Linked DNA regions of Schizosaccharomyces pombe. The protein of the gene in region 2 binds, or shares a complex with, the protein of the main gene of each other region. Each region holds a gene or a part of one and is shown on either strand. Other genes may lie near its edges.

Region 1 (4,072 bases), on a different chromosome or scaffold from region 2:
TGAATCGTGGTGATTCTCGGATGGGCGGTCGAGGAAGCAATCCACCATTTAGCTCTAGTGATTGGTCTAATAACAAAGATGGTTATGCTAGACTTGGACAAGGTATAAGAGGTCTCAAATCTGGTACTCAGGGTTCTCACGGTCCCACAAGTTTGAGTTCAATGCTTAAAGGTGGAAGCGTTAGTAGAACGCCTTCTCGTCAAAACAGTGCCTTAAGAAGGGAACAGTCTGTTCGTGCACCACCATCTAACGTCGCGGTTACTTCTGCTAATTCTTTCGAATTACTTGAAGAGCATGACCATGATAATGATGGGGGTCAAAAAGATTCTAACTCAAAAACTAGTTCGTAAAGTAATCGGATTTGAATCTGTAATTTAAGTCTTTCATCTTTTGGTTTGTTTTGATTGTTTTGCTATGGATGAATCCATCATTTATCAGGGTTAACGGGAAATGGACTTTATAGTATAAGGTAATACATTCTCTACATTGTAATTGAGAAATGCTTTGGAAAATTTTAATTTCATTCATTGAGTTACGCATAGCCCAATTTACAGTATCTATATCACTAAAAGAGTAGTACTTTTGAATTTTTAGTATACAAAACCATGATATATTAAGGTATTTGAAGTTTGTAGAACAGGCTTGAGTAGTCCAACAAGATTTGGAAATTATAAATATCAAGGAGTCAGAAGACATTGAGTTTATTCCAACATCTGCATGTGATTGAAATGCACTTCTTTGAAAGTGATAATTGTAACTCAAGCTCAAAACGAAGCAAAAATGGCAATTATGAACGTCTTATTTCATTTGAATATCAAAATTAGTGTTTCACAAATCTGACTGAGCCGGCACGCATTCTGCATGTAACGCTAATATATCTTTAGAAGTAGGCTTCACTGTTGAGTTTGCGTTTCTTCGAACAGAAGGAAGCTCCAGGTACACAGGAGAAATGAGACTTTTACAAAAGTCACACGGCTTAGAATAAAGATGCTGATAATCAAGTATTTTAGGCTACACACGGTTAGCAGAGGTTTTGTCTAACAACCTCAAAAACACATACCATAAGAGACCATAAATTTCCAAGGAAGTTGTTGTTACGGTTAATTGAAAAAGTAATAGCATCGTCTTTGCTAGATGAACAATAAACACTAAATTTCCCCCTAGTATCATGAAAGAAAATAAACTCTAGCTCGTTTGCTAGTTTCAAAGTGAAAGACTTGTTTTCATGCGTTGTAAGAATAGACCCTGAAGCCTCAATATCACCTTTAAAAGACTCTATGTTTATATCCGAATTTTGGAAATTGTCATTATCATGCAATTCACTGTGATGCGGCTCCTTTAAGTCTAATGCAGACTTCCCATTAATGGATTTTGTTTCATTATTTTCGGTATCATTAGACAAATCTTCTGAATTGTATAAATAAGTAGGGAGCAAATTAGAGGAATCGGCTTGTAAAGACTTTTCAGCATAATCAAAAACGTCTGTTAATTAGCAAAAATTTAAGCTAAAAATAATTTGCATGCATACTTTGACTGGATTTAAGATGTGTATAAAAGGAATTTACTTTTTCAATCGCTTCTTGAGCACTTTTCTCAAATTTCCGACCTAATTAATTAGTACTCGAGCAAAATTTAAATTTAATATGAAAGATAATCATCATATCATTTTCCCTTAGTGTAAACTTTAACTCGTTTTTCTTAAAGAATTTAGTTATTTAAACAATTACTTACTTGTGCCGGTTTCAGGATGTAATAATTTTAAAAGGGATGGACAAATAGTTCTTAATTCAGCAAGCTAAAATTAATAAAATGTCTTCTGAAATTAGACAAACCTGTTCGTGAAGCTGATTTAAATCCAATAGCTTGTGCTTTAATTCATCTCTTGTACGCTGCTCTTCTAATGACATTTCTGGTAGCCTTAACAAACTTAAAATAATTATGAAAAAAAAATTAACAATGCGTATATTAAATAAATATTGATGGTAAATGGAGAGAATTCAAAAATCGGCACATCCAAATAGTAGATGGTAAGATGTCGGCTGTCATTAACGAACTTACATTCATCTAAAAACCTTTAAAAAATAATTCAACCCCAGTGCTATTGAGAAAGAAGATTGTTATTATATTCAAAATATAGGAAATTTGAAAATATGACCGAACAATTTGAGTCAACTTCTTTTCCATCTGACATTCCCGCCGTGAACGAAGAAAGCAAACTTTCAGCTGAGGAAACATTTAAGAGCCTTTCTGAAATTGTAAGTTAAGTTTTATTATCTAATTTTCGTCTCTATTTTTTTTTTAATTCACCATAATTTATACTAACCATCATCAATCAGTTGGCAGAAAATAGCACTTTGCCAGTGGGTATTTCTTCCATTCGAGTTACTGGTGCACATCATACTAGGCCAAGTTTCATTCGCAAAGTATTGAAAACATGTTTGGATACGTCGAAACCGGCCAAAAGTCGATCTTTGCTTGAAACATTAAATGCTATTCAAGAAACTACTGGGAATTTGATGGCATTCAACGTTTATGAAACTGCCAATATTAAAATAGATCGTGCTAGCTCTTCTGTTTCTGGAGATGATGATCTTGATGTTACCATTCAAGTAAAAGAGAAACCACGTTTATATGTAGAAACCGGCACTGATGTTGGTAACGTTGAAGGCAATGTACATGCTAATGTTCTTGCAAGAAATGTTTTTGGAGGAGCTGAACTTCTTTCTGGTAACGTTTCATATGGAACTCGTAATCGGTCTACCATGTCCGTGAACTTTGAGACCCCAGTAAACGCAGATCCTAAAACCCGTTTACGATTCAATGGCCACAGTAACTTGAGAGACAATAAATCTATTTCGAGCCATGACTTACTTACTAAAGGAATTACGCTTTCATTGCAGCATCAAGATCTGTGGTCTGGCGAGCATTTACTTTCACAAAACTTATTGTGGAGGCAAGTTACTCATCTCACTGAATATGCTTCTCCAAGCGTACGACTTGAGGCCGGTGATTCATTAAAACAATCTCTTTCCTATACGTATACACGCGATACACGCGATCATCTTATGATACCCACGAAGGGAGATTATGTGAGGCAGACTTTAGAGCTCGCTGGGTTCGGATTTCTTCCAGGAGATGCGAGCTTTCTAAAATCAGAATTCTGGGGTCAAAAAGCTGTGGCTTTAAATTCTTCTAGGTCTGTTTCTCTTTCTTTGTCCGCCCGGATTGGAGCATTGCATAGTCTAAATAAGAAGCAAGTCAGTCTGTGTGATCGTTTCATGTTAGGCGGTTCAACTAGCCTTCGTGGTTTTTCAGAAGACCGTATAGGTCCAAAAGATGGCAGGGATTCTTTAGGCGGGACCGCATATATGGCTTTCTCCATGAGCTTGCTATTCCCTTTGCCAAAAGTTGATGCTTCTAAACCATTTCGCTTACAGTTGTTTGCGAATGCTGGAGGGCTATCGAATTTGACTTCTCCAAATCCATGTGGCACATACAAATCAATACTTTCTAAGCCTTGTATCTCTACAGGCTTAGGTTTAGTCTATGCAACTCCCGCTGCGCGTTTCGAGCTGAACTTTACCTTACCAATCGCTACTACCGAAAAGGATATCGGTCGTAAAGGCCTGCAATTCGGCGCGGGTATCGATTTCATGTAATGATTTTCCTTTTTAACTTTTTACTTTAATAAGGTCTCTACTATTCCCATCTCTGACTTGTCTGTCTTTTTCTCTCATTTATGCTAATGATAAGAATGTTACGGTTGACAATTGCTTTTACTGCGTTTGAATTAAATTTTCATGCATATTTATAATTGTCATACAAATATTTTGCTTTTGGTCAAGATTTATGAATTTCACAGAATTTCAATAACCATATATGAATAAATTTAAACGAAGATAGTTACATAACATCAGAGTATCTTTTGTATTTTTATTATTAAAAGAAGATTAATAATTGCAATTAGTCGAAAAATAAACTACGACTTTAAAATGAGATAGAAGAGCCTTTAATCCTTCTTTGAAGGTCTTGCTAGCTAGAAAAAGCGCATTAGTTTATGTTTGGGTTTCAG
Region 2 (3,879 bases):
GAATTGAGACGGTAAATGAGCCTTTGGGCTATGGTCTGGATATGGATCAACTTAAGCAATACGATTTAGATGCCTATAATATCGTCAATCCTCTTTCCAGCTCTGTTGCTACTATCATTCACGATGCCTATGTTGATCTTTCTATTTGGGATTATGGTGTTGTATCTCCTTCTTCATACAATCTTGTTATGGATGTCCATCGTTATCAACTTTACGAGTCGGATGAGTGCTCAAAGACTCTCGATGATCATCTTTCAGATGTTTGCTCCATTGGTGATTCCATTGCTTCCTCTCCCTACATTACTGTTACTGGCGAATGGTCCGGAACTTTAGCAGACTGCACGATTTTCGAAGAAGGAGTTGACTCTTCGACATTTATTGGACCAAACAGCGGTGATATTTCCACTTGGACGGATGAATATAAGGGAGCTGTTCGTCTGTTTATCGAAACTCAGTTAGATCAATTTGAACGCGGTGCTGGTTGGATTTACTGGACTGCTAAAACTGGTGGACCAAGTCCTACTTGGGATATGGGATTACTTATTGAATACGGCGTATTCCCTCAACCTTTCACTGATAGACAATATAGCTCTTACTGCGGTTAAGCAAAGCCATATCAAAGTTAAAAAAAAATTTTATCTATTCTAGCTGTATAACACTAATTTATATCTCACACATCGTTGTCATGTCCTGTCCTTGCATTTATCATCTACTATCATTTAACGTGCTGCTATCTACTATCCATTCAGTCTTTGTTTGTTTGGCATTATCTTTAGACATTAGTTTTTAATATATATTGTTGTTTTCGAAATCTTTTAGTTATGTGATATTAATATTTTGGTAGCAAGTTCCTACTAAATTAATATTTAGCTTAATAGTTTACGTTCAATATTGCATATTTTTTCGAACTCTATATTAACAGTAGCTGTACTTTGGAGAAAGTTGACCGAGAAATCTTTTTAAAGTTGTCCAATTGAATTTTCAATTATCAAGTATCTTCAGTTTACTTATATGAAATGTATTTTCTGCTCTACTCTTATAAGTCAGTATTGAGCCACATAGACGGACCACTTTGAGTTAGTCTCGGAAAAGCAAATCGACAGAATAGGTTTTCACTCAGCCACAGGTGACATATGTTTAAAATACTTTTATAAAAATTACATTTAAATTGAGCGATTTCTTGGTAAAGTAATATTACACATTTTCTGATCTGATATAGGCTTTATACGCATTAAACGAAATAAGCTCATTAAGCATTCTTTAACGAACTCGCTTTTTTAATTTAATGAGATATCTAATTCACTAGTATGTATTCATTATGTTGTCCCTAACAAGATCAAAATTGTTACACTGTAAATGTAACGTAGTTTGTCGACTAATTTATACGAATAATAGCTTTCTTCTTGCCCAAATTAGTGAAATTTGTTAGACAATTTAAACAATTAAAATCATATACAGAATTAAATTGACTAATTCTATTTAATCGAGAGTAACTTAAGTATTGTTCGTCGAGCGTATATACCAGCTGCTACTTATTGCCCTTGTGGAGGAGGACATTACTGTAATTTACCGTGTTTTAGCACATTAAACCTTTTAAGGATGTCTGTTTAACTAACGGTTACGGATGTTTAAGGAGTAAAAAGTCGAGTCTGCAAAATAACTGTAACCTGACCTACTAGATGATCGAGCAATTGTTGAGTAGTTAGTATATAGTAATCACATATGCTCCCCAATGGAATATCAAAGAGCCATTGATTCTATTGAAGAATGTCTCAATAAACAGTTAAGACTGTCATCCGAAAAGGTTGACCAATATGTACTAATAGAAAACTGGACCTCATTAGTAGGCCACTTGAAAACCTTACACTCTTTAATATCAAATTACACAAATGGTAGAGAATTACAAAATGAAATTAGTTCTTTGCTGAAGCAGGATAAGGAACTGGATTTACAAATTCAAGACTGCATGAGAGAAATGACCTCAATTTATGATACCCATCTTCCAAAAACAGTGTCGGGGAGAAAACGACAAAAAGTTAATGCTGAAACACTCCTTGATTATGGTAGAAAACTTTCCAAGTTTTCCTCTGCACCTCCTGGGTACAATCCCGAGACGGGTCAAGATGCAAAAGCTCCTGTGCATTATCCTTGGCCATCGGAGGACCAGATGCGAAAAACTCTGTTGTTTCAGTTTTCAACTAGCATGGTTCCAAATTTATCGGCTACAGCGTCCCAATTATTTTCTGAACAGCCTCCAAAGACGAACGAGCCAACGGAAACAGAAACAGAAATTGATGCGAACAAAGCCGTTGAAGAAAAAACTAAAATGAATTATCCTGCCTCTCCAACATTCACTACGCAAGAGGAAAATAAAGAAGTAGAATCGCCAGCTAATAAGGATGTCTTTGCAGGATTTGATCTTTTTGATCCAGAAATGGAAGAAGATTTTTGATTCTAAATTGTGTTATTTGTCAAGTGATATCTGGTATTTTACTTTTCTAATTATAGAGTTTTTTGCTTTGACCAAATACCCTTTTGTTTTAAAAATGAATAAAATTACGCTTTGCCGTTTAGACTGTATTTATTTAGCTTTCAGACTTCGCAAAGCAAGATGATTGAACACTGTTCCTTGCTTAACATTTGTCAATTCAAATTTAATTAATTTTAAGTATAATTTTCGAACAATCTACGTTTTCTGAGTTCATTTAATTATGCGTTAGCATGAAAAAATTCCTTTTCTGCGTGATCATTCCTTGCTATGGGCATAAGGCTCTCTATTACAGAAAAACCGAACGATGGGTCTTTTTTAAGGACTAAAGTTGATGATGCATGAATGATATAACCTTTAATATATCCTTGGTCAATTAGAGAAACACAGATACATTCGACATCGTCCATGTCATATGAGTTATCATTTGTACTTAAACGGGCCGCGGTTAACAAGTAAGAACCAGATACGTGCGGGGTTTTTTGGCTTTGCTCAAAAGTAAAAAGAAACCTTTTTAAATTAGTCGAATATTTTAAAAAATCTCAAACGTACACCTTTCTAAATAAATTCCTCCACAGGATGATTTCACATCTATCCAATAAAGTTAGATATATTCCTCGTTTGATAAACCATTTCCTCCTGGAATTGTCCTCCAAAGATAATCTGAACGACTTGATATCACCACTTTTCAAAGCTTTTATTAAAGGTTCGAATGCTGCAGTCAATTTGTATTTTTCTAATAGCCCTTTTGTTGGCGATTTTCCTAATATAAGTAAACACGTTGTAAGATAGATTAGAGAAAGCCTTTTTTGATTAGTAAATATAAACGAATCCTATTTTTGAGTAAAATAAAACATACCTTTTTTGATGATAACACTCATCAGGGCACTGAAGAAACGAAAAAAGTAGATGGTCCTTTGCCTGATGAATTTTGCGTTGATAAAGATGACACCTTCCTAAATAATAACGAAACGTTACTAATTCCGCCATTGTAGCGCGAGAAATATCGGCACCCGAAGAGATGACATTAGCTTGAATAGTTTGGCAAAGACGAATTTGCTTTAAGCGAAAATATAGTAAACAAAGTAAATTGGCAATACAGAATATCGCATCCTTCTTCGAAGGGTTAATGTTTTGTTGACGATCACTCAGTATACTATTGAACGTTCGTAAGACGTTCCTAGATGCATCGCTCACGTATTTCCTCTGTATGAACCCATTACCATCAAAAGAATCTTCTAAAGTAGGTGTAGATGTATCTAGCTGAAGGGAGAGCTTTACATAAAGCTTTGAAACGCGTTTTACAATTGTACACAACCATGCTCCATCGATATGGGAGAAGCAAGTTGTCAAGTTACTAGAAAAACAAAAGTGAGAAATAATAAACAAAA
Region 3 (4,649 bases), on a different chromosome or scaffold from region 2:
TTCATAGCTAAATCAGCAACCTTACGATCAAACGGTTCTGACAACACATTTGAAGACGCAAAAGATAAGGAAGGCTGTAATGATTCACTCGTATCAGAACTCCTTTTAGGAGTATACGAAACACTTCGTTGCTGAGGTACATGTCCTTTATCTTTAAAGTTTGAAGGTAGTGGAGGAACTGAAGGAATTTCCTCGGGCTTCTCAGGTTCACGGGAAACCTGAGAACGCGTAATCGAAAGTCTTGGAACAGGGGGAGGTGATGCAGAATCACTATTACCGTTAGAGCTTCTTTCTTTGGATGGTTTGAACCAGTTAATAAATTGCTGCATCCGGCTTTTCGTTCTCGTAGGAGTTTTCTTTCCATTCCGGTAGCTAGATTTGGTAGAAGAATCAGCTATGTAAGCATGTGGTATTGCCGGTACGTCAGGGGCATCCTCGTGTTTAGCTTTACTTCCTTTCTTCATACGAGAAGAACTTCTCGAAAAACTCAATCTGCTAAAAAAGCCACCTCTTGAAGATCTACCTTCTTTGTTGGAAGATTTCTGTGATTTAGACTCATTTTGGACAGTATTCCCATGTTTAGCTTCATGGTTACGATGCCCATCAACGTTTGTCTTCTGAGAAACCGCTTTAGGAGCAGCTTTCGGATCAGGATTTCTACTGTCGGGATGAACTTGAGATGATGTAGTAGTATTATTGTGATTATCGGATGAAACAGGTTTGTTGTTATCGAAGACAGAGGGGGTAGCAAAAGAGTGTGATTTGGTTTGTGATCCTACATGTGAGTGATTATTTTTAACATTAGAAAGGGTTATTTGACTATGGGGGGAAAGTTCTTTGAAAAAAGAATTGGATGTCTTCAAAGGGGATTGGATTGTAGAAAGATTCTTCGATTCTGAACTTGATTTCGTAAGGGATCCAGATATATTTGCTTTAGGATGTTGGTGATCAGTGGAATGACCTATATTAGGAGGAATAGTTGGAACAGGAGGAATTCCAGACTTATTTCCAATAGAAGCTGCTCTGGGATGTGAAGTAGAATGGAAGTTAGTATGACGCCAACTACCGGATCTCTTTGGAGCCATTGAAGCATGGTATGCATGGTTCCCCGAGGAAAAAACGCTAGATTGTAAAGGAACGGATGATACATCTTGTGTAATAGATATAACCCCACTCAAATGCCCCCCATTATTTTGCTGATTCCAATCACTAGGCTTTGATGAACGATTATAATATGATAAGGAAGTTCCAAAACTCTTAGAGTTCGATATTGAAGATGTCCTATGATGTGAAGAAGTATTCAACGACGAAGGATTGTTCTGCTGAGATGACTCGAAATCGATTGGGTTATTACCAATACTTATGTTTGACAAACGGTGTATGGAATTCCTCGGACTGTTTTTCTGTCTATAATCGTGATCAAAACTACTTCGGAGTAAACCATTGCCAGTCGAGTGGTGTATAGTAATAGCATGATTATCCATAGATGAACCAACTCCCTTTGGTTCAACATTCATAAATAACTCATCTTTATGCTCTTGTTCCGGAAAAGAAATGTTCGTATTTGAGGCATTCGTCGAAGGACTCGTATCTGCTGCTGTACTGCTAGAACTCTGGCGGTTTGGACAAATATCGTTGGAATAACTACCAACGGCAGAAAGTTCAGATGGGTTTAATAGTTCAGATTTTATTCCGAACATGTTTGCGCTTTTCCGGTTTGATGTATGAAGTTTAAATAATGCATCCGTATTTTCGTCGCCCAGAGAAACCGCTTTTTGGGACTGCAAATAGCCCATTTGCAAACTTTGCTTCAAAAAGCCAAAATTCTCACTATATTACGCTTTTACTGGCTTTTTTGAAACAAAATATTGTTTCTATAAGCTCCCTCCTTCAGTTACAGTCTCTTATCTTCTTTAAAATGCAAACTAGTAGCAGTACGTTCGTGGCTAATTAAAGCCGCGCTACACCCTGCATATCAATACCAACCACTTCTGAAAGGGCACGCAAGCTGTAAATGAAACATAGAACGCTTATTGATTTGTGCACAAATTTTACCAAAAAGAAAATATTTTATTAAGATTTACTGCATATATATTTTGATGCTTTAAAAAGAGTTTGAGTGAACATACTTTGGGTTTTTTTTAGTCCAAGGTTTAAAATTGGTTTTCATTTGTATACATATAAAATTCCCCATAACTACTGTTTTAACCCTCGTTATAAAGATAAATCAATCACACAGACCTTCCCATTGAAACTAAGTTTTAGGCGGTTCAAAATTACCTACTTGTTTTTGCAATTAATGCGTTTCTAGCAAATAGTTTGATGGCAGTAAAGGCTTCCTTTTTGCAGAACAAATTAAATTGCTCGCTGAACAGACATAAAATTGCGCTTATATACAGTGTTTTAAGCTGATTAAATACGAAATACACGACTAATTTACTAAATCTTCTTTAATAATCTTTTCGATGGATAGACCACATCTCTTTTCTGAAGTTCATTTCCGTCGAAACGCCTCTAACCCCAATCAGATTAACTGGACGCGTTATTGGATTGATTGTCTATCATCAGTTCCTTGGAATGATATCTCTGTAACTGGATTTGAATATTTGGCTAAAAAGTATGGTCTGGAGGTTTTTCAAGACTCCTCCAAACCCAATGAAGTGGTCCTCAGTTTAGCTGGAAAAATAATTTTGATCGACGTAAGTTTAAATCCTGTACATAACCGTTTTACTAATTAGTATCTAGATCACTGTTCCCATAAATGCGTCTCCAAAAGATATCAACGTTGTTTTGGCTTTTGCAAACGCTAGTGGTGAGCAATATAATAATCCTGTTGCAGAAAAATTACTTAAGGATGCAATTTACAATTGCAATACCCCACTATTTGAAAAGAATGTCAAATGGTTGGCTACCTTTGATCACTCCTCTCCTTCGGTCCAACAAAGTTGTTTCCAATATTTAGACTCACTATCCTCTTCTTTAAATGCTATTTATGAAGCAGAATTATCTTTGCTAGCACAAGAAGAAAATGTTATAATGCATGGAAACGGAAAGCCTCTCAGTAATTACGAAGGACAACTTGGTTTGCGTATTGTATACTGGAAGCTTTTGGATAAAACCTATAGCACTCAAATTTTTATGGATAATTTGTCTCATGAGTCGCTACCTCACTTGTTATTCGGATATAATTTATTAAATTCTCCTCCTATCCTCCAATCATCAAAAATTAATTGGGCACTTGAAAATACTTTGACACCTATTCCTACAACAATGGAACTAGTTTTTGATGATATCAATTTAATAATACCAGAGCAGGGCGTCAAACCTTTACTTGATTTGCTTCATGTCCATGACATTACCATTCCTTGGCCTGTCCAAAATTATAGTCATATGGTAAGTACTTTCCCTAAATATCAACTTAACTAATTTCACCAGCTTGGTTTACCTTCAAAATCAACCGTGAACTACAAATTCATTAATAAAAATCAAGCCATCCAGCTAACAGGGTTCGATGTTTCCGCACGTTCTTTGCGTCACGTACCGTTTCATCATCCCAAGCAAATTCGAGGAATACTTGCTATTGTACGCCAATATTTATTATTACAATTGATTTTGGAAAATATCAAATCAGCAGATTTAGCAGAGACTGCGGCATCTTCCTCCCTTCACCTCTCTCTATATTTTAAGGAGCATCCGATCGTTCATGCCCAATATCAAGAAATCAACAAACTGAATAATTCCGAACAAATTATCATTGTTCTATCCGTATTGTCAGATGGAAGACTGAATGTTGATTATATGTCTAGTGGTGGCAAAGAATTGTCAAAACAACAGTCTCATGTTTTTCAAAAACTTATACAACAAACATGTAACATCGGACTTGCGATAGAAGTGTTTATAAAGAAAGTCGTTAATTAGAATTTCATGCTAGAAAAAGACATTACTAATCAGTTTTAAAAATCTTTAGTAAAATGAAATTATGGAATTAGTTGGATGTTTTGAATAGTATAAATTGAACACTTTAAAAGGCTAGCCTATTTTACAAAAATCAGAACACTTTAATAGATATATTCAACTTACGAGAAACTAATTTGCTAAAACTTGAAAGAATCAGCTTAATATTTTAGAGAACAGGATTGTAAGTTATTCAATTCTCAAAGCACAAATTGTGGTAGAGAGTAAAAAGAGGCCGTTCTTATTCGTCGTCGTCTTCTTCTTCTTCCTCCTCATCTTCACTCTCAGATTCGTCACTTGCTTCAGCCAACCATGTCAAAAAAGGTTCAGCAGCTTCATGAATCTTCTTACTAGTTTCACGGCTCACATATTTCTTGCTAGCCTTTGCTCCCCATTTCTCAAACATGTCATCAGAGACCAAGTCATTCTGATAAATCTCCAAGAGTACCTTGGGAACAACGTCGATGTGCACTAATTCAGTGTTTTCCATCAAACGTTCAAACCCACCAAGAAGAGCACGTTCATGTTTATCTGTCGTGCAAAGCTTTTTAAACAATGCACCATGCTTTTCAAACTCCCCAACGTAAGGCGAAGTAATAATACATTGAACTAGTACAACAATAGCTTTACTTTTATGATGAATATTCTCTTCCTTCATCTTTTTGTAAATTTCAACATCAGAAACACCAGGGTAG
Region 4 (3,396 bases), on a different chromosome or scaffold from region 2:
ATTTTTTAAAATGGAACATACTTACTAACCATTTAGAAAATTCTAGCTCAATTTAAAGGATAAAAAGAGTCATTATGTGGGAAAGAAGACATAAAACAGAATCATTGATTCAGTTCCATAAGCGACAGAATAGTAGATACCAAAAAGTAAGATAAAGCCATATTTATAGATCGGGTCTACTATTGAGAACACGAACTATACATCCTATACCGGATATTTCCACCACCTACAAAACCGTATTAGTGACCGAATAAAAATGTAAAGCATGAGATAAGCAATGCTAGAGCGTTGGGAAAAGCAATAAACTAAAAGTTACCTTTTCGTGCCAATTAAGTAATACAGACGAGTTGTAGGCTTGAGGATTCGCCAATCCACGATAAATGAAGTTTACAATATTATCAATTTCCTCCGTTGAACATTCTTTTACAAATGCGGGAATGTCAGCAGCTCGTATATTGCTTAATACATCAACAAAAGCATTCAAATATTGAGTCTAAAAAAGTTAAAATTCATTTACACCATAATAAAATGAAATCAAGAAGAATTGTAAATTTAATCAATAAATAAAAACGTAATTGATATAAACCGTCTTTAAGCAGTTTGTACAGTTTGCACATACCCTAACTTCTTGAACATCATTTCCATAAGGAACATATGAGAGTAAGGTTTTCAAACCTTGTAAGGCATTTCCTCTATTTTAATTAATAAAAAAATTGCTTCTTTTAAATAAACATACGTTTGAATGGCAGACCGGGCTTGAGGAATGAGTTGAGAGACGGCTGCTTGGACTTGCTCCGCCGTTTCGTTACGAATTGGAAATATATCTTGCTCTGTTAAAACAGGTTCTGTGATGGAGTCGACATCCAAAGTCCGAAACGTCATTTTATAACTCTATAACTGGTAAGGTAAAGAAAACGATGGAACAGGTTAAGTTTCAGCTGTGTGTAGCTCTAAAGAGGCATCATACAACGGTCGAACGCAAGTCTGTAACTGAAGTTATTATAATTCATAGAGTATATTAATTTAACCAATAAGTTAAGAAAATTCAAAAAAATATATTTATATTTTTTTAATCTTATAACTTTAACTTATAATTTTTGAGCGGAGCTATATAAGTCTGGTAACAGCATTACTAACTTCTTCAGTACTCCATAGACCTCTTTTGTGGATGTTTATTTTTTTTTATTTGTAAATAATCATCTCTACCTTTGGTCTTAGATGTAAAGTTCTGAATAACTTGTAGACAGAAATTGGTTACATATTTTACATTTCTGCCTATGGTGATTCAGAAGAAAATATGTTAGATACAGCCTAGTAATTAGTTGAATAAAGATTAAAAGTAATTTTTTTTTTGCTTCTATCTATTTTCAGTATGTATATTGATGTATGAGTTTATACTTCTATTCGAACAATAACTTTTAAGACTTATTTTGCTGACAGAACTATGTAGTTTCTTGTGTAAAGTTCAAAGTAAAACGAAGAGACACATATGTAACATCCTGGGATTAACAGATTTTTAATTAGTGCTCAAACCAGCCAGTTACATTGTTACGTAGTATTTGACTCTCCAGAAGTTAATTATGAATGTAATTCAGTTAACTTAATTCTCTTCAAGCTTTTAACAATTTGCTCTGGGATTATCATACCCAAAAGCCATATACTTTGCGACTTGGAAAATAATAAAAATGACAAGAGATAAATTAATAAAATTTGAGCTCATATTATGTCTATCTGCTTTTTTTTTTTAATACAGGAACAATGAAAATGAAGGTTTTAAATTAGCCTGTTAGCAATTCTTGCAACCGCCGTACGCATTAAACTCTTCACATCAACATTACAGTAGAAGTAAAAGAACTAATTCGGCCATTTTTCTCAATAATTCGGTATAAACCGATATTCAGATGCATAATTAATTACCATTCATCTTTGTTATAAAATATGCCTGTTCACGGGTAAAAAGCATACCGATTGACTATTTTGCTGATTGATTATAGAGTTATTTATTATTCATCGCCTTCAATGGCGACGTTCCTTTCTCCAGCACAGGATAATCTGGTTAGGACCTACTTTGCACAACATTTAAGTAAGCTGACACTGGTTTGGATTTTATTTCTTATGATTGATGATTTCAAGATCTAACTTTGAATTTCAGAAAAATGGGTAGTTCAGTATAAACTTTACAGAAATGCTGTCACTCCAAAAACTTTAGAATTTTTGAAGCAAAACATTAATCCCAGCATGCTGGCGTGTGTGGATGAAGCGACAATGATTGATGCAGAACCTGAACTTGAGGACATCATTGTGCGAACGAAATTATGGAATTTTCGGCAGTCCTTTACTATTGAAGGTTCAATATATGAAGTAGGGAGCTTTAAAGTGGCTATTGCCAACGTTTTACAAAAGTCCGTTTGGAAGGGTATACTTTTTCATGTAACTTACGATGGTACTGAGTCCGTCGATCTCGCACGCCCTATTATTCAAGAATTCTTTCTTAAATGCTTTTTACAAAATAATAAATCGGTAACCCCTGTCTATGAAAGCTTCTTTAACCAGCCTCGTCATTCTTTGGATTCAAAACTTCTACTACAGTTGTTTAAACAACGCATTGATACCGTTTCACAACGCACATAGAATAAAAAAGTATCAATTTAAATTTTTTCTGTAAATAAATTTCTATCTAACTAACTGTCAAAGTCTTGCTTTATTGTCAGCAGAAAGTTATGGCTCCCTTTCACATTTACAGATACCAATTATGTTTAATAATAAAATAGAAATGCAGGAGTTTGAATAACAACCCATTTTAAACTCGATGCATTTCACTGTACTCCAAAAAGTAATTATTCATTCAAAATTATTCAAATAAACTCTAGATGAGATTATGGAATCAGCATTAAAAGCTTATTAATCAACCTTTACTACCAAAACATTAAACGTCTAAGTTTCCAAAATACTATGCGCGCTTATAAAAGCATTGAATATGCTTTACTCTAAGGAATCTGTAACAGCACCCTTGGAGGCAGTGCTAACGTTGCGAGCATATTTTAAAAGGGTTCCTTGTTGGTACTTCAAAGGAGGTGCCTTCCAAACACTGCGGCGTCTCGCCATCTCCTTCTCATCAACCATCAAATCTAAAGTGTTCTTTACAGCATTGATTTCAATGACATCGCCGTCCTGAACAAGAGCAATAGGGCCTCCAACTTGTGCTTCGGGATCAACGTGTCCAATCAAAAATCCGTGAGAGCCACCACTGAAACGACCGTCAGTCAAAAGTGCAACATCCTTTCCAAGACCAGCTCCCATAATAGCACTTGAAGGCTTTAACATTTCCGGCATACCAGGTCCACCTTTTGGTCCCTCAAAACGAATAATGACGACAGTCTTCTCGCCCTTCTTGAA

The links.
Region 1: pmc4 (region 2) and pmc3 share a complex: the UniProt entries of both Schizosaccharomyces pombe proteins name them as parts of the mediator complex.
Region 3: pmc4 (region 2) and med1 share a complex: the UniProt entries of both Schizosaccharomyces pombe proteins name them as parts of the mediator complex.
Region 4: pmc4 (region 2) and med20 share a complex: the UniProt entries of both Schizosaccharomyces pombe proteins name them as parts of the mediator complex.

The regions. Positions count from the first base shown.
Region 1 is NC_003424.3:4,488,371-4,492,442, reverse strand, and holds pmc3 (mediator complex subunit Med27), read right to left. Parts: upstream 2,038-4,072; 5' UTR 1,908-2,037; coding exon 1,833-1,907; intron 1,796-1,832; coding exon 1,732-1,795; intron 1,607-1,731; coding exon 1,529-1,606; intron 1,483-1,528; coding exon 1,061-1,482; intron 1,012-1,060; coding exon 829-1,011; 3' UTR 501-828; downstream 1-500. Other genes in the region: tif471 (translation initiation factor eIF4G), read left to right, coding at 1-350; sorting and assembly machinery complex subunit Sam50, read left to right, coding at 2,151-2,255, 2,337-3,659. UniProt on the Schizosaccharomyces pombe protein: Component of the Mediator complex, a coactivator involved in the regulated transcription of nearly all RNA polymerase II-dependent genes.
Region 2 is NC_003423.3:3,515,757-3,519,635, forward strand, and holds pmc4 (mediator complex subunit Med4), read left to right. Parts: upstream 1-1,704; 5' UTR 1,705-1,732; coding exon 1,733-2,452; 3' UTR 2,453-2,709; coding exon of another isoform or gene 2,710-2,998; 3' UTR 2,999-3,040; coding exon of another isoform or gene 3,041-3,292; 3' UTR 3,293-3,333; downstream 3,334-3,879. Other genes in the region: cell wall glucan 1,6-beta-glucosidase Exg1, read left to right, coding at 1-605; TREX/TREX2 complex subunit Pci2, read right to left, coding at 2,710-2,998, 3,041-3,292, 3,348-3,845. UniProt on the Schizosaccharomyces pombe protein: Component of the Mediator complex, a coactivator involved in the regulated transcription of nearly all RNA polymerase II-dependent genes.
Region 3 is NC_003424.3:535,930-540,578, forward strand, and holds med1 (mediator complex subunit Med1), read left to right. Parts: upstream 1-1,980; 5' UTR 1,981-2,465; coding exon 2,466-2,699; exon of another isoform or gene 2,700-2,745; coding exon 2,746-3,393; intron 3,394-3,435; coding exon 3,436-3,918; 3' UTR 3,919-4,083; downstream 4,084-4,649. Other genes in the region: DYRK family cell polarity protein kinase Pom1, read right to left, coding at 1-1,796; translation initiation factor Tif5, read right to left, coding at 4,196-4,649. UniProt on the Schizosaccharomyces pombe protein: Component of the Mediator complex, a coactivator involved in the regulated transcription of nearly all RNA polymerase II-dependent genes.
Region 4 is NC_003424.3:2,348,389-2,351,784, forward strand, and holds med20 (mediator complex subunit Med20), read left to right. Parts: upstream 1-1,804; 5' UTR 1,805-1,938; coding exon 1,939-1,952; intron 1,953-1,994; coding exon 1,995-2,083; intron 2,084-2,152; coding exon 2,153-2,631; 3' UTR 2,632-2,856; downstream 2,857-3,396. Other genes in the region: CENP-W family protein Wip1, read left to right, coding at 37-63; ARP2/3 actin-organizing complex subunit Arc5, read right to left, coding at 164-226, 317-493, 620-692, 737-882; ilv3 (dihydroxy-acid dehydratase), read right to left, coding at 2,983-3,396. UniProt on the Schizosaccharomyces pombe protein: Component of the Mediator complex, a coactivator involved in the regulated transcription of nearly all RNA polymerase II-dependent genes.